Linked DNA regions of Arabidopsis thaliana. The protein of the gene in region 1 interacts with the protein of each later gene in a pairwise test. Each region holds a gene or a part of one and is shown in the gene's direction. Other genes may lie near its edges.

Evidence for each region.
Region 2: the proteins of AT5G03050 (region 1) and AT3G47675 interact in a two-hybrid assay, tested with the Arabidopsis thaliana proteins (one large-scale study listed by BioGRID).
Region 3: the proteins of AT5G03050 (region 1) and AT3G08780 interact in a two-hybrid assay, tested with the Arabidopsis thaliana proteins (one large-scale study listed by BioGRID).

Annotation. Positions count from the first base shown.
Region 1 is NC_003076.8:711,806-718,676, reverse strand, and holds AT5G03050 (knotted 1-binding protein), read left to right. Parts: upstream 1-2,329; 5' UTR 2,330-2,456; intron 2,457-2,688; 5' UTR 2,689-2,693; coding exon 2,694-2,756; intron 2,757-2,844; coding exon 2,845-2,994; intron 2,995-3,070; coding exon 3,071-3,144; intron 3,145-3,239; coding exon 3,240-3,375; 3' UTR 3,376-3,376; exon of another isoform or gene 3,377-4,634; intron 4,635-4,655; 3' UTR 4,656-5,450; downstream 5,451-6,871. Other genes in the region: IMPA-9 (importin alpha), read left to right, coding at 45-209; AT5G03060 (striatin-like protein), read left to right, coding at 999-1,635, 1,714-1,955; iqd2 (IQ-domain 2), read left to right, coding at 6,271-6,330, 6,408-6,734.
Region 2 is NC_003074.8:17,574,713-17,579,365, reverse strand, and holds AT3G47675 (ternary complex factor MIP1 leucine-zipper protein), read left to right. Parts: upstream 1-2,498; 5' UTR 2,499-2,531; intron 2,532-2,610; 5' UTR 2,611-2,828; coding exon 2,829-2,903; intron 2,904-2,968; coding exon 2,969-3,088; intron 3,089-3,169; coding exon 3,170-3,265; 3' UTR 3,266-3,362; downstream 3,363-4,653. Other genes in the region: AT3G47680 (DNA binding protein), read left to right, coding at 975-1,883; AT3G47670 (Plant invertase/pectin methylesterase inhibitor superfamily protein), read left to right, coding at 3,517-4,347; AT3G47660 (Regulator of chromosome condensation (RCC1) family protein), read right to left, coding at 4,561-4,620.
Region 3 is NC_003074.8:2,664,772-2,669,993, reverse strand, and holds AT3G08780 (BRISC complex subunit Abro1-like protein), read left to right. Parts: upstream 1-2,433; 5' UTR 2,434-2,541; coding exon 2,542-3,432; coding exon of another isoform or gene 3,433-3,480; exon of another isoform or gene 3,481-3,567; coding exon 3,568-3,618; 3' UTR 3,619-3,931; downstream 3,932-5,222. Other genes in the region: AT3G08790 (ENTH/VHS/GAT family protein), read right to left, coding at 1-52, 272-436, 535-620, 717-798, 883-1,028, 1,129-1,242, 1,334-1,432, 1,664-1,742 and 1 more; LTP6 (lipid transfer protein 6), read left to right, coding at 5,210-5,222.

The DNA of each region.
Region 1 (6,871 bases):
GAACAGGAATGATCCTAATTGGTTTTGATTTCTTTGGTGGATAGGTTTTAAGAGGAATGCCAAACGGGGAAGGGCCAAAGCTTGTGGAAGGAGAAGACGGTATCGATGCAATGGAACGGTTTCAGTTTCATGAGAACGAAGAGCTGAGAGTCATGGCGAACAGTCTTGTGGATAAATACTTTGGTGAAGATTATGGAATCGATGAATGAAATCGCCTCGGATTTTAGGGTGAGAATACAAAGAAAGTCGGATGATGAAATCAAAAGGAAACTAGTCATCTTAGCGTTTGCTTGTAACGATAGTGAGTGAGAGAGAAAGACAATAGTCTTTAGGTTTTGTCTTTTGGGTTGTTGTTGTAACTACTTGTAATACAGTTTTGTCTCACCGAAGGTTTGATTCCTTTTTGTCGTATCCTCCTTGTCACTTCAAATCCAATTATAAGATACACTGTCAATGTAATTATGATTTTTAGATACGGTGGTATTTTATTTGAATATCGAATTATCTTTTTAATCTAAGCTAAACTAAAGTAAATGATTTTACTTGTTTGAGGACATGAATGGGAAGAGAACAAAAATTTGGATTAAGTTCAATTTAACACTAAACAAAGATTCAATTATTAACTTGATCATGAATATGTTGTCCTTTCGTATTCCCGCTTCATTTTCTCTGTTTCTAGGGATTTGCTTTTTCCCTTCTCTGTAGCTACTTTCATTTTCCAGTAGCTAGCTCTTTCTCTCTTCTGGTCGTTTGAAGAAGAAGAAGATTCAAAAGATTTTCTGGGTAAGATTCTTCTTCTTCTTCCGTTGTACATTTTGGTTTAAAGATCCGCTAGTGTTAGTTTCCCCGTTCTTCTTCCGGTGGAGCTTAGAACGAATTTGAGTTTTAGGGTTTCTTTAGAAATCTGTGAAATTTTGTAAATTTGGCAAAGATAAAGAAGCTCTAGTAAAAGCTTGACCGCTGTTTGTGTTGATATCCAGGGTTAGGGTTTCGACGTCATGACTGGAAAATCATCAGCTCGTTCAAACAAATCGGGGAAGAACAAAATCTCGTCGGTGGCTACTCCGACAAGAAGAAATTTGGTTGTTCAGGAGGAGATTTTGGCGACAAAACATGAAATTCTCAAGGAGAATTATGAGAATCTGGAAAAAGATTACAAAAGTATAGAGGAAAGTTTTAAGCAGATGAATGAAATGAACGAGATAATGAAGTTTCAATATCAGAAGCAAATTAAGGAACTCGAGGAGAAAATTCTAAGCTTGCTTAAGGATTTAGAGAAAGAGAGAAGTGAGAAAGAGGAGTATATGAAGGAGATGAAGGGAATGATCAGTGAGAAAGAGGCCATTATCAATGATTTGAGTGTTAAGAATCAGGAGCTTTTGATTGCGAAAGAGGAAGAAGTGGAGAAGCTGAAGAAGATGGAGAACAAGTATGCTGAATTGAAAGAGAGATTTGATGCGGCTGAATCACAATGTTCATTCTTGAAATCGCTTTTTGATGCTGAGAATCTCGCCGGTCTAGGGAGTAGCGATGTGGCTTTCGAAAATGAGGTTATTGTGGTGGAGGATTATAATGTGACTATCAAGAATGAGGTTATTATGGTGGATGATCATAATGTGAATAACACTCCAACAGGTATGTATGTATGTTCTTGATATGTTGGTGAACCTCTCTTGTAAGAAAATTTATTTGAATATTTTCTGTTGTGTGCAGATACGATTGTGATCCTTGACGAGAGTGATGCTGAAAATGATAATCCTCATCCAAGAGAGAGTAACATAATCTCTGAAAATTCTGTTGATGTAAAACAAGAACAACAATCAGCTGGACCAAGCTCATCAAAAGTAAATCGTCTATTGTCATCATCGTCGTCATCATCATCATCATCATCAGTTGAACATGTATTCGTTGAGCTTCCCTTTAAAAGGTCCCGGGATATTTATAACAAGTCTTGAACCTTTCTCGATGCAGTGATCACTGAGCCAGAAGAAGTTGCTCACTCTTAAGTTAAGCTAGTTTAAGGTATATCTTATCGATCCTCCGGTTTATTGTTTTTTGTTTTGTCCCGGAGGTTGTAACATTTTTTGGACGAGATAGATAAAAAAAACGATTAGTATCTGATTAGGTGAATATTTTGGCTGTATGTTTTTTGTAAAATGTTTGGATTACTCGGCTTAATATCAAATCGCATCTAAATCGCTTTGATTCTTGAGTCACTCCTCCATACTTAAAACGCCAATAGCATTGTATAAGCATAATTACTTAATTAGTGATGATTATGAAACAGAGACAATAAAATAAAATAAGTCTTAAATCTAAACGCTTATTTAAATGGATTCTCGGAATAAACAAATTGGCTTTTCTTCCTCATTCTCTACACTCACTGGACTCTCTCTAAAACTTCTTCATCTTCTTCTCTCCAATTCGTACTGAGCAATTTCTTCGATCTTCATCGCGTAAGTTCTCTGTTAATCTCTTTCGGAGGTTTTTTCGTCGATCTCGATCTAGTTTCTTCCGTTCTATTGTAGAATCCTAAGCTAGATTGTTGGGGATGTAATCGTACGGTTTTTAGATTTTGAAATCGGAATCTGCTGCGATGCTTTAGCTAGTGGATTCAATCGCATCGAGTAGAAAACTTAATTCTTAATCTGTTTATGCGTTCATGAGCATCGTTTTAAATTACTGCAGTTTTGATGAACACTGAAATGGAAGAAGACGCAGGGAATGGAGGATTTCGGAAACGCATGAGAGCATCTGTAAGTTTTTTTTGAATTTGTCGTTGATCTGGTGATGATGATTTTGTGGTGGATCAGATTTTTGATTTTGTCCTGTGAAATTTGTTAGGATGAAGAGGGAAAAGGAGATTCGAGAGATGGAATTAGCCTTGATCATACCATTGAGAATGAAGAAGCTGAGACGAAACTTGTTGCTTCTGATGAGATGGAACTTAGCATTGCGCAAATTCTCGATAAGATTGAGAGCTTCACACAAACTGTAAGCTGCTCTTATCATTTCCCTGATTGCTTAAGTTTAGGAAGAATCTGATATTGATTGATGCTTCTTGTGGTAGGTTTCTAACTTGCTGGAAACAGGGAAAACAATGCTCAAGGAACTCAGTAACGAATTCGAAGAACGCTTGATCATGTGAGTTTGAAGAGATTCTATAATGTTTCTGTATGTACCATGATTGAGATGTTTATACACTCACATGTGTAACACTGTTCACATTTATGAAACAGGATACACAAGGAACATGTTGAGAAATGGCAGGACGAGATCAAGGAGTTGCGTTTGCTTGATGCATCAAACGAGGAGACTACTTCCCTCTTACACAACGCTCGCTATCTGATTCAGAATCCTAGCATTGAGCAATGAGGTAAACAGTCTAAAACCCTATCAAGAAGTACTATCAGCCATTACTAAGAATAGATTATCTTCTGTCGTCCAGTGGTGTAAGAAGTCATATATATAACTTTAGATCAACATATGGTTGGTTTGAGAATTTAGATTTCTTCAGTTTCAAAAACTTTATGATGTTTTGAAGGAAACATAGAAATAGCTTATCATGAACCTTTCTCAGCTAATTAAAACCAGAATTGTGTTTGCTTCTTTATTAGATTTTGGAGTGAATATAGAAAATGACTCATATCTCTAGTTCGATCAAAAACCAGTAACTCTTCATTCTCTTTTGCAATTCTTAAATGTTTTTCTCAGTTCTTGTTTCAACTCAATCTCCCAAAAACTCTCATGCTGAACGTAACCCTATCTTTTAAAAAATATTATTATAAAATTGTTTTCTTATAACTATAAATATTATTTTAAATGTGTATGTTTAACTGAAAAAATAGATGAACTGAAGTAGTAACAAAAGTTGAATAGTGGTGAAATTAAATTCTCTGAGGTGATATAGATGGACATGGACTAATCTATATATGAAGTTGTAAACTGTTAATTCAATTAAATTCACTGGGAAGAAAAAGGTATGGCGTTATCATGGGTTCAGGTTTAGGTGTTAGCCAATATAGGAATCTTCTACCGTTGCTCTGTTACAAAACGACAAGACTTAAATGTCGGGTCGTTACCAAACTCACTGGCTCATCTAAATATCTTTAAAACGCTAACGGCCCTGACCTTATTTCCATGCCCCACTTACATTTCAGATAATGCCAAATGGATTTTTCGGTTCAATTTTGGTTTAGTTATCTTTTTTTTCCCCCGGTTTAATTAACTTATAAATTTCACTTGCTAGAATGCAAAGACCAACTCAAAGTTGACCGACGGGGAGAGAAATTTTCATAATAGCTTATAATTATTTTTTATTTTATTGGCAACGACAAAGTTTGAATTATACATTAGGTGGAATGTCCATATCCCCAATTCAACTACCGACTTTGGATATACAGATACCTATTAATATTATAAGTTATCAGAGGCATATCTTTATATAAACAGTTATACATAGGACTTTGATATGTTGGACATATGATTAGCTAAAATAAATTATCAAATTCCAACGGCTAGTTCTCACTTATTTTATATGAAAATAATTTTAGGGATGTTATACTAACGAAACAGAGAAGACGCCACATGGAGTGATTGGACATATATATGCTTTTTTTTTTTTTTTTTTTTTTTCTTAACCACAAAAATTACAGGAAGACTGGTACAAGCTGGCCACCGATAAGGAACCTTTTGGGTTTATCTCCGAAAAAAGTCAATGATTTCAGGCAGATAATACTTAATCCAGTGGACAAAAATTATATACTCTTTCAATCATCGTTCTAGTTCACTGTATGTCAATCCATATAATTTGGGAAATTGCTTTTGTGGTGGATATACACGATCATAGAGCAAAATACAGTCTGCTAATAGCTGTTGCATAAAACGAGTTTTTCCAAAGCATTATTTATGGTTTGTGTCACTAGGTATTATGAGTCAAATATTTTCTTTGTTCATCCATCGGAGATTAACTTAGTAGTGTGGGTGGATCTGAACATAAAATATGATATGGTGTACAAGTACAATGACCAACTAATTTTCATGATTTATCAAATCCAGAAAGTATTAAGTATCGTATATGGTGGCTTGTTAACGAGTATATTTTAAAATGATAAAGGCTGTCTCACTGGTGGACATATTTTGTTCACATGTTTTGTCGGTTGTAGTAATGTAAGCGTGTATTAAAACACACATACTTTATACGGATTATGCAGATGAATTAATTCGATAAACAATTGGTATTTGACGACAAAAAATACGATCTTAAATCTTAATTCGATTAATAACAGATATTTAACGGCAAAAATATAGTGTTATATTTTAACCCGCCTAAAGACAAAAATTAAAGACGAATAAAAACTTTTTATTGCAACAATTTTGTTTTATTAGGTGAAATTAAAGACCAATCTTACCGGATAAAGTTATAAATTAATTTAAAATTTATATGGTCACTGTTTTATCGATCCTCATAACTTGTTCATTAAATTATCTAGTTTCAAAAAAGGTACAAAATCCAATACATTTTCCAGTTTACACGTTATCCATATTTTAAGAAAATTTCAAACATTTTTAGAGAAAACACCAATATACCATGTCAACTATGTATACTATTTTTGAAATGCACCAAATAATAATAAATCTAAAGATACTATACTATAAAAAGAAAAATTAACAAAACAGTGTTTATGAAACTTAAGAAATAAAACTCATCACTAAAAAAAAAAAGTGAAAAGAATAGAGTAAAAGAGAGACGAAGTTGGTAAATTAAGAAGAAGAAAAGGAAAAAAAGAAGAGTAGAATGGGGCCCACAAAAGAGGCCCAATTAAGTGGCATCACGCACAAACACACACCGTCACAAATACTCTTCTTCACACAGCTTTGAATCCATCTGTCTTCTCCTCTCTCTCTCTTCTCCATTTGCAATTATGATAATGTGAAAGCAATTCGAAGAAGAAAAGTTATCTTCGCACCTCAGCAAAGATCCAATCGATTCGATTCTTAAGCTTTTTCGTCTTCTCCGATAAGGTCACTACTTAGAAGCCGCGTTGTGGTTTAGTTGACTCCTCCAGGTTTTATCTTCAAGCTTTTTCGTCTATCAGATCTGGTGTCACTGTCTTCTCATAGGTACGATTCATTCTCTCCCTGATTCAGTATCAATTGGTGAATTTTAGCTCTAGATTTCGAGATCTGTCGTAATTTAGCTACTGAGATCAGTAGATTCAGTTTCCTTGTGGAATAATTTGTTTCTTCTCTGTGAAGGATTACATAGAGATGGGGAAAAAAGCTAAATGGTTTTCAAGTGTTAAGAAAGCATTCAGCCCAGATTCAAAGGTGAAGTTTTTTTTTTTGTATATTGATGTGACTTAATGTTATAGTCTGTATATATTGACATGTTGATGTGTTTTCAGAAGTCGAAGCAAAAATTGGCTGAGGGACAAAATGGTGTTATCTCTAATCCTCCTGTTGTGGATAATGTTAGACAATCTTCTTCTTCTCCTCCTCCTGCTCTTGCTCCTCGTGAAGTGAGAGTAGCTGAAGTGATTGTTGAACGGAACAGGGATCTTTCACCTCCTTCTACAGCAGATGCTGTGAATGTTACAGCTACTGATGTTCCTGTAGTTCCATCTTCATCTGCTCCTGGTGTTGTTCGTCGCGCTACACCTACTCGATTTGCTGGAAAGTCAAACGAAGAAGCCGCTGCTATCTTGATCCAGACTATATTTAGAGGTTATTTGGTATGTAATTCTACTCTTGCAATTGGCTTTATTATCTGCAGAAACTTAATTCCTTCGGAATTTCGTATGAGTTTGACCGAGGCACTTGATTTTGTGTGAAGGAAGCTGCTTTGTTGAGTATAATCTTATTTTGTGTA
Region 2 (4,653 bases), on another chromosome or scaffold:
CAAGTCATAATTACTTGTTTGAGCCGCTATTATCATCATCTGCATGATAAATGGTACAAATCTGTGTTATTTCTCTTTGTTTTCAGTTGTAGATAGTAAATTAGGGTTTATATTTGTTTCAGAAATTAGGGGTTTTCACAATTGGGAATTGATGATAGGAAAATTAGTTCTCATAGGTTGCTGTCCAATTCTCTGTTCTCATGGAGTTGTCTTTTCCAACGAATCTGTATTTTTTTTTGTTACAATTTTATTTTGTCTTGTCTTCCTTTGATTGCTGCTATTTCTTGGGATTTGCCGTCGTTTGCCGTTCGTAGAACTAGGATTTTGTCGTTGGATTTGTTTGCAATTTTGTTTATTAGTACACTCAGATTTAATTTTATCAATTTGCTTACAGATTTATTTTGATTGATTACAGTTTTATGTTGGTTAAGTACATATATGTTTGCTTGTTATCGTAAATTTATCTTATGTTTGATTGCAGATTTGTTTTGTATTTGATTACAGACTTGTTTTGTATTTGATTGTAGATTTATTGTGTCTTACGTTCATGACATAACACTTGTTTTTGTTATGCTGTTTTTGTTGAGGTTAAATGGAGAAGTGGATACAGTTGCTAGAATGATTGATGTCTGTTGTGTAAGAATTGGATACAATTACCGAATGGAAGGCTCATAGAAGGTAAAACAATCTTAACCTTATATCTTTGAACCTCTGACTTTTCATGAATTATATTAGATGACTATATATGGCTTTTATTGAATGCTTGTTGTCGGTATGTGGTTGATACTTGGTAGTTGATTGTCATGTCACACTTAAAACAGACACCATTAACTTTTAAACACCAACCAGATATTATTACCAGACACTATTAACTCTTGTTCTTGTTATTTAAACACCTAACCAGAAACACACTAGAAACACACACCAAAAACAATCTTTCCCGCTCCTTCTTACACCAACCAGAGAACTAGTCTATGGATCCATATAGTCATGGATCAAGCTTCATGAACCTCTTAACTAGTCAACAAGAGGCTCACAATTTAGAAACCAATCCGTATGATGATGATGTTTCTCCAAACCAAGCTGCACACACACCTAAGGTGAAAAGAGAGAGAAGGAAATGGTCTGCCGGTGAAGACTTGGTGCTTGTCAGTGCTTGGCTCAACACAAGTAAAGATGCAGTAATAGGCAATGAACAAAAGGGTTATGCCTTTTGGTCACGTATTGCTGCCTATTACGGAGCAAGTCCAAAGCTCAACGGTGTGGAAAAGAGAGAGACAGGTCACATAAAGCAGAGGTGGACTAAGATCAATGAAGGTGTAGGCAAGTTTGTAGGGAGCTATGAAGCTGCAACAAAGCAGAAATCTAGTGGACAGAATGACGATGATGTCGTTGCATTAGCACATGAAATCTACAACAGCGAACATGGTAAGTTCACCCTTGAGCATGCTTGGAGAGTGCTTCGCTTTGAACAGAAATGGCTCTCTGCTCCTTCTACTAAAGCAACTGTAATGTCCAAAAGAAGAAAGTCTGACAAGGCTTCAACCTCCCAGCCACAAACCCATGAAGCAGAAGAAGCAATGTCTCGTCCTATTGGTGTTAAAGCTGCAAAGGCGAAAGCAAAAAAGGCTGTGAGTAAGACAACAACTGTGGAAGACAAAGGGAATGTGATGTTGGAGATTCAGTCTATTTGGGAGATAAAGCAGAAGGATTGGGAGCTAAGGCAGAAGGATCGAGAGCAAGAGAAGGAGGATTTTGAAAAGCAAGAAAGATTATCAAGGACCAAATTGCTGGAATCTCTCTTCACAAAAAAAGAGCCACTTACTGATATAGAAGTGGCTCTCAAGAACAAATTAATCAATGAGATGTTGTCAAACTCATAGTTTCAATTCACTCTCTGTTGCAACATTTTAGTTTCATGTGTCATAATTTAGTCTTCTTTTTGTTTTTGTTATTTCATCTTTGTAATGCTTGAGCATGTTAATCAGTTTTTAAAATGAATGAATTCGGTTTAACTTATGCTAGCTTTGAGTTTTCCTTTTTGTTTAAGTATTCCTCCTGTAAGTTTATAAGTAAAGCTTCTAGCGATTGATAGTATGACAGCTCTTCTTTCATGTTTAGTCTAATTTATATTTCCTTGCTGATCATTGTCATGTCATTCTTGTTCCCTTGGTGACCTTAGTAACAGAAACTAGTCAGTCTTCTTTCCAAGGTACAATAAACAGAAATTGAAGTATGTTTTTATTGTTTTGTGATCCTTGTTAATTCACATTCACCACAATCATATATTTCCTCTGCAACAGCTAGACTAAAGGATGGATTACAAGAACACACAAAGACATGGCTTCTTTTATGGCTGAACTGCTTTAACACTGGTAAGAAACTATCTCTCAATATCCTAAATCGATTATGTTGATAGAAAAACAATTATGTCTGCACTGTGAATGTTCTTATAGGTCCCAGTAATAAGCAATGCTCTTGGTGGAATTCTTGTTGGCCTAGTTACATCACATGCCGGTGGTAGAAGAAAGGTAAAACAAACAAACCCTCCCAATCTGATTTTACACGATCAAAAGCTGAGACATGTAATATCTTTACATCATTTTGCAGAGATTCTCTTTTTATCAGAATCTGATCCGCCGTTATTCCGGCAAGTCTCATGTGACTTACATTATCTCTTCTTAACAACTTCAAGTGACCAAAAAACAAAAGTCAATAACTGTTTTAGTACTCCGAACCGACCCTTTTAATGGCTCCCACGTTTCACTCTAATCATTATCTTTCTCTACTTAGACCCGTTTCCTTCTTCTTATGTTTCTCTGAAACTCATGAAATTTGAGGAACTACTCATGGAAGATTCATCACAGCTACATAGTAACAAGAGACATGACTTAGAGGAAGGAGTAAGCACCTCTGTTCCTAACTCAAAATCTCTATACCAATAATTTGAATGTTTGTGTTTATGCAGGTGATGCATCTTAAAGAGAGACTAGAGGAAGAAGAAGCAGTGACTAGAACTTTACGAGCTGCTTTTGATGGCTCTATTGTTTCTCTCCCAAGTCTCTCCTCATTGTTTCTTCCACCTCAGGCAATACCAATAGACATAATCACACATAATGTTAATTATTTCTTAATGATCAAACAATGATGAGATTTTATTGTTCAACAGTTTTCTGAGCTCTTTCAAGAATTAGCCATCGTGGAGGCAGAGATTCTTTGTCTAGACAGAAAAATCAAGGAGCAAGCATCTTGTGTAGTTGCCTAGTTGGAAGTCCTCAATAATTTGAATTGTATTATAAACATTTTGTGTAATTGCTTGTATTATAAGACATTGTTTTGGAATAATTTAAATTTTTGTTTCTTAAGAACCCAATAGTTCCTAATCATTGGAGTGGAAATTAGTTAAGTTTTTTTCTAACTTTTCTTAACTTAGTAAAAACAACATTTTAATTTAAAATAAGGCTAAGATTGAAAATTAAGAACCAATTGGTTCTAAACCATTGGGATTGCTCTTAAATGCAACAAAGCTTCACATTTCAACTTCTTCCTGTTGACTTTTTCTCTCCCAAAATCACAGATTCATCTTCTTCAAATTTCCTTCGATCAAAAAACCATTACCCTTCAATGGAATCAATCAACACCTTGAAAGGCTACGACAAAGTATCCGACCAAGAAAACCAAATCCATCATCATCATCATTCTCCACTTCCAAAACCATCATCATTTTCCCGTAAAACCCTAATCGCCACCGGCTCCGTCGTATCTCTCCTCTTAATCCTCTCCGTCGTCGCTTTAACCGCCGGAGCTTTCACTCACTCTCCTCCACACCATCCACCTATCTCCTCCGCCTCTCTCAAGTCACTATGCTCCGTGACTCGTTACCCAGAGACCTGTTTCAACTCTCTATCATCTTCTCTCAACGAATCTGATTCAAAGCTTAACCCTGAATCAATCCTCGAGCTTTCTCTTCGAGTCGCTGCTAAAGAGATCTCAAACCTCTCTATCTCTTTCCGATCAATCAACGATATGCCTGAGGACGCGGCGGTTGGTGATTGTGTGAAGCTTTACACCGACGCGTTGAGTCAACTCAACGATTCGATTACAGAGATCGAGAGAAAGAAGAAGAAAGGTGGGAATAATTGGTTGACGGAAGAAGTCGTCGGAGATGTTAAGACTTGGATCAGCGCCGCCATGACTGACGGTGAGACTTGTTCCGATGGAATTGAAGAAATGGGAACAATTGTGGGTAATGAGATCAAGAAAAAGATGGAGATGGCTAATCAGATGATGAGTATTAGTTTGGCCATTGTTAGTCAAATGAAGAAGCTTTTGTTGATATTTCACTAAACCAATCATAAAGGTTGGAACTTTTTTCTTATTTCTCTGTTTTGTCAATTTCGAATTCATAAATGTGTGTATGTGTTGTGAGCTTTCCTTTGTAAGTAACTACTACATTGATTTGTTTTCGGTATGTAATTTTGATAAAAGAGAAATCTTTTCTTCTTGTATTTTACATTCTATTCACTTACTTTGATCAAATTATAGTTCAAAAGGTTTATATCAAAACGAGTTTCGGTGTCTCCTTGTCTTGTCTACTTCTTTCTTGGTTGTGTTCATCAACTGTATGAAGAGAATAAGACTGAAATCTACATT
Region 3 (5,222 bases), on another chromosome or scaffold:
TATTTTTGGACCATTGGTTGTATAAGCCACAACACTACCATTTTTGGTCTCACTGCAAAAGAAGTTCAAAAATATTTTAGAGTGTAAAAGGCCAATCTTTTTAATCTTTCAACCTTCAATCCTTAACCACTAAACCAATGCCTATACATCAAAATATAACACACAATACAACAACAAAATAATTCTTAAGTTTTTACACAATTTAGTCAAGAACCCAAAGATATTTCAAAATAAAACATTTAATAACTAGAAGTCTAGAACTGTTTCTTACCTTGAACCAACATCTATGATTTGAGTTGTGTCCTTAGGAACTTCTTTTTTAGATTTTTCTTCTTTTTTAATCATACTGTTTCCAGAGGCGATGGCTTCGTGCTTTGCAAGTAATCGCTGCAAATCGTCATTTAAGGCTAGGCCTTGGCAAAGCATAGATTCATCTCTGACACATGAACCAAAACGTGTATAAAGAACATATATTCGTCAAAATTGTTTAGAGTTTCAAAACAAATTTTGCAGGTAAAAGTTTCAGATCTTTACGATGTCGAGTTTACAAGGTGCACTACTCTTTGTTTATAGGTGCGACATTGGCTAACAAGATCTACAACAACCTCTTGTTTAAGTCCCTGCAAAGGTGAAAAGAAAATACATTCATTTGGTAGATTCAATGTTAACGAAAAATGTTATATGAATTTTCAGAATCTAGGTGTTAAAAGATATACCTCTTTGTTGTTTCCATCTATTGCGTTCATCATTTCAGCTAAGACATCCATAATTCCTCTTGCGTTTTGAATTTCTGTCAAACTTCAACCAAAAAAATGCTATTTGATCAAATCTTTTTATGTTGAATATTCCTAGAAAATAATGAGCAATAATTAAGATAGACACCTCAGAGTTGGAAATTCTGACTCTGTTGAAGTATCAATAGCTTCTTGTCTAGCGTTACGAGAATTCTGAGGATACCTTGTCGAAGGACCATTTTGTCCTGAACTGGGTGTGATTTGAGGTCTTTGAGGGAATACAATTCCTGCACGCTGAAAACAGATAAAAGAAATTAAACGAAATACTAACATTCAAACCATATCTCCATCGGTTCGATTAAAATGGACATGTCACAGCAAAAATGAAACATACCAACAATTCTTGGTATGCTGCGTAATATTGTGGATGTCTTCCTTGTGGACCTGAAAAGCTCTCTTGCCAAGTATCTATAAGTATCAATATCTTCTCCTTCACTTGGATGTTAGGCTATAAGTTTAACAAACAACATGATAAGTTAGGTGTCACACAAAACTATTGTTATAGATTAAACAATCGTTTAAAAGAAACATAGCCTGACCTTCCTTTTGGCCATCTTCACCATCTTATGAAGTATATCCTTCTCTGCAACTTGCATATGAATAAGTTCTCCACAATTGGTTATTATTGTCTCTAGTAACTACAAAGTAACAAAACCAAAATATGTTAATCTTCTCATAAATAAATTTTTAAAAAGGAAGAAAATAAAAGTAAATATCTGAATACTATTGGTTGTGTACATATCATACTGAAGTGAAGTTTGGTATTAATAATGTAAGAACATCTCATTCTATGCAAAACCGAAACTGAATCCAAAATCAAACCAAACCAAACCAAAACATGAATATCAAGCCCTGGTAGTAGAACTTACTGTAAGAGCCAGAAGCTGAACCTTGGAAGTTCTACTAGTAAGCCTCTTCTTTATGCCACTCACTACCTCTCTCGTTTGCCTACAAACACACACTCACATATCATTAGAAAAGTGGAATAAAACCAAAAAAAAAAACATCAAAACCAAATCTGAACCATCCGAGTCTTCAGTGATCAACACAAATGTAGTATAACCGAGATCAACAAAATTACCATTGATTCTCTTTAGGAAATCACAATGTCAACAATTACCATTTTTCCTTTAGAACATTGATTCGTATTGATCACCTAGAGCATTGGACCAAGGATTTTACAGTCATTCAAATACATTTTAGTGAAAAAGGTCTTACCCAGGCTCATGATTAAGCATGTCACATATCTCGAGGTTCATGGCCCAGTCAGGACCAATGAGCATATCGCTTGTAGCTCTATCAACCAAAGGATGCACCATCTTCTTGGTTTTTTCCTCTGTCCTTCAAAAAACTCTGAGCTAAGAAGTGTTGTTTTCTTCCTTGTAGTCTGTAAAAAGATATTTTGCTCTCTTCTTAATTTGCAACTAAGAAACAACATGGCGACACTTGTAAGCACCGTTGCTAGTTGCTGCTACATCAATGCAGAAGATTAAGGAACTAATTGACCTTTCATATTTCCCTTTTAAAATGTTTTTCTGTTTGATTGGGCTTTAAGGTGAATAACGGGCCTCGAGTGTGGACATTTATGCCCATTTTCTTTCACAAAAACGACACGCTAACTACTCGTTAGAACACGAAACGCCACGTCGTCCTAATGTGCTGATACAATTTTTATCTCGTTTTTATTTGCACAGAGAGAGATTTCAGTGACGTCACATCTTTTCCTTTTGGTGTTCTTCTCGTCGCCATGGACGATCTCTCTCTAGAGAAAATCGAGATTTCGGGTCCAACATTGGCGTCACTGATTCAACGAGCTTCATCTTCTCCCAGTGACGTCGATGGCTTGATCTTCGGCCAAATCCACCGAATCGTCTCTTCTAATCTATCCGACGATTCTCCGGCGGATATCGCCTCGAGTTCCTCCTCATCTGATCAAATTGTCGCCACCGTTACAAGCTTTATCTGCTCTGGTAAAACTGTCTCCTTCTACGATCCGCTTGGCCGAGTTGACTCGCGTCGAATCGATTCCCTCCGAGTCGACTCACCGGACCACCTAATTGGGTGGTTCTCCGCCCGCAGGAAAACCGCTAACCGTCCATCAATGAGAGAGTTAGCCGTCACGTCGTCTCTCTCGTCTCAATTTCACTTACCAATCGAGGATTTGCAAAACCCTAGATCGATGAACATGGCTTCATCCGTGTTCTTTCTTCTTACTATGCCATTGACGGATCAGTGCATTCACACGCACGAGTACCGTGCGTACCAGTTCCGATCCTCGAAACAACGGCTCGAACCTAGATCCGTTGGTATAGTCAACATTGGACCAGCGTTTCGAGGCCATTACGGTTCGTTTAGTCCGAAATCGGGATTTCCACCGTTGATCTGCGAGTTGAGTAGCTCAGCCATGAGCGTGGATTGCGATGAGAGTTCCTTGAGTGCGAAGAAACAATCAGCGAAAGATCAGAAGGAGATCGATGCGTTAGCAGAGGGGTTTCAAGTTGGAGAGTTGAAACGTTTGGTTGGAGCTGAAGCTGCGAATTACACAGGCGGGATTGAAGAAATGTATGAGAGAATGCTGGCGAAGATCGAGAGCTTGGCTTCTGATGTTGAGAAGAGCTCGGCTAGGGTATTTCAACAGGTACAAAACCATCTTCAAAATTCGATGTTATTGCTATTCAAGAATTAAAGTGGTTTTGTTGTTCATGTTATTGATTGTTGTCTAGCAAAATGTTACTGAATTGTACCAATACAACATCTTCAATGGTTCTTCCAGGAAAAGCATAATAGGAAGTTGAGAAACCGAGTAGCCAGAATCGGGAGATGAGGCTTCTTTTGAATTTCTTTAAGGTTTTTTATCGAGTCTATATACTTGGAATTCAATCCAAGAGAACACTGGCTAGTAGTGGCTAGCGCAATCGGAACTATATGCGGGAAACGATTTGTATTATAGTTTAGCGATTTCCTAGTTAAACCTTTCCTGGCTAGATTGATTTGTCACAAGAGATCCCTTTTCCTTGTATGGCTAGTTTTTGTTTGAAGAGAAACAATCAAGAATGGGATTGATTCATGTCAAGAGTTTCTATAATTGGGCGTATAATATATGTTTATGAAGTTTAATACTAAGCTAATTAGTTGCATACATATTGATACCAATTACCAAATGGTAGAGCAGAAATACCCCGACATGACTAGAGATAGGAAAAATGATATCACCAGAAGAATGAATACCTTTGAGAAAATTGATATATGATATTGAAGTTCTGATCAACAGTCATTATAATTTGTATAGACGTTTAACTTTGTAAGGACTTTGGAATTGATTAAGATGGGAACTTTTATTGTCGACATGAATGGTATGACACTGAGGCAGAATGTTCAAGGAGGGTAAATGTTACTATAAATACCATGTGAATGTGTATAGTATAGTAACATTATTCAATTGATCTCGAATTTTATTGACTTAATTTTTGATTCAAGAGTTGTAAAAGTTGGATACAGCCCGTTGGAATGATTTAATAATACAAGCTACAGAATTTGGAATCAAACCGAATACATGTTTCTTCTGAATCAGGTTTTTGGTTAAGGATCGGCTAAACCGAACAAAATTGGGACCACGGCTCAAATTACTTGATGGAAACCAACCAAAACGGTTTCTCAACGATCAATTTCACACCACAGCTCTTAGTACTCGAAGATGCTCCTTCATATTTGTGCTATCTTAACTACTTGTAACAACAAAACGTACCAACCGCACACTTCATTAATCTCTTTATCTAGAGCGTCAATGCACTATGAGCAGCGATACAACTCAATATCCATCGCCTAAAAATTGTCATTATTTTTCCTTTTGTCGACGTTGATATTGACATATATATTACTACACACATGGGTTAAACACTATCCAAATATATGTAGATGAGAACTGAAATCCTTTTTATTTGTCAAAGCAGTTTTAAAACTTTGAATTTTATAATCAGGCATTAAATCATACACTACTGAATTAAACAGCATTTCAAACCAGTAAGAAATTAAATACTATCCAAATTCCTATCTTAATCTATTAGTCTTTTTCTTTTCTTTAACAACTCTTCTCATTGTAGTTGGTATCAGTGTTTAATTTAGTAGGCCTTTTTTATTGATTAAGAGATGAATTTGGATAGTTAAAGAAGAAAAAATGTAATTAAAAAGAAATAATATTGTTAGATACAATGCAGTTGAATCCGGAGGGTTGGATCTTAATTGGCTGAAGGTAAACATTAAATTCTTCCACAACTAACTAACAGTAACACTCGTGTCCTAGCAATCACTCTTCCTCAACTACCAATCTCAAACTCTTTCCATCTATAAATAACCTCTCTATTTTCTAACCCTAACCATAACACAAATACACCAAAAAAAAAAAAACAGAAAGTAACATGAGATCTCTCT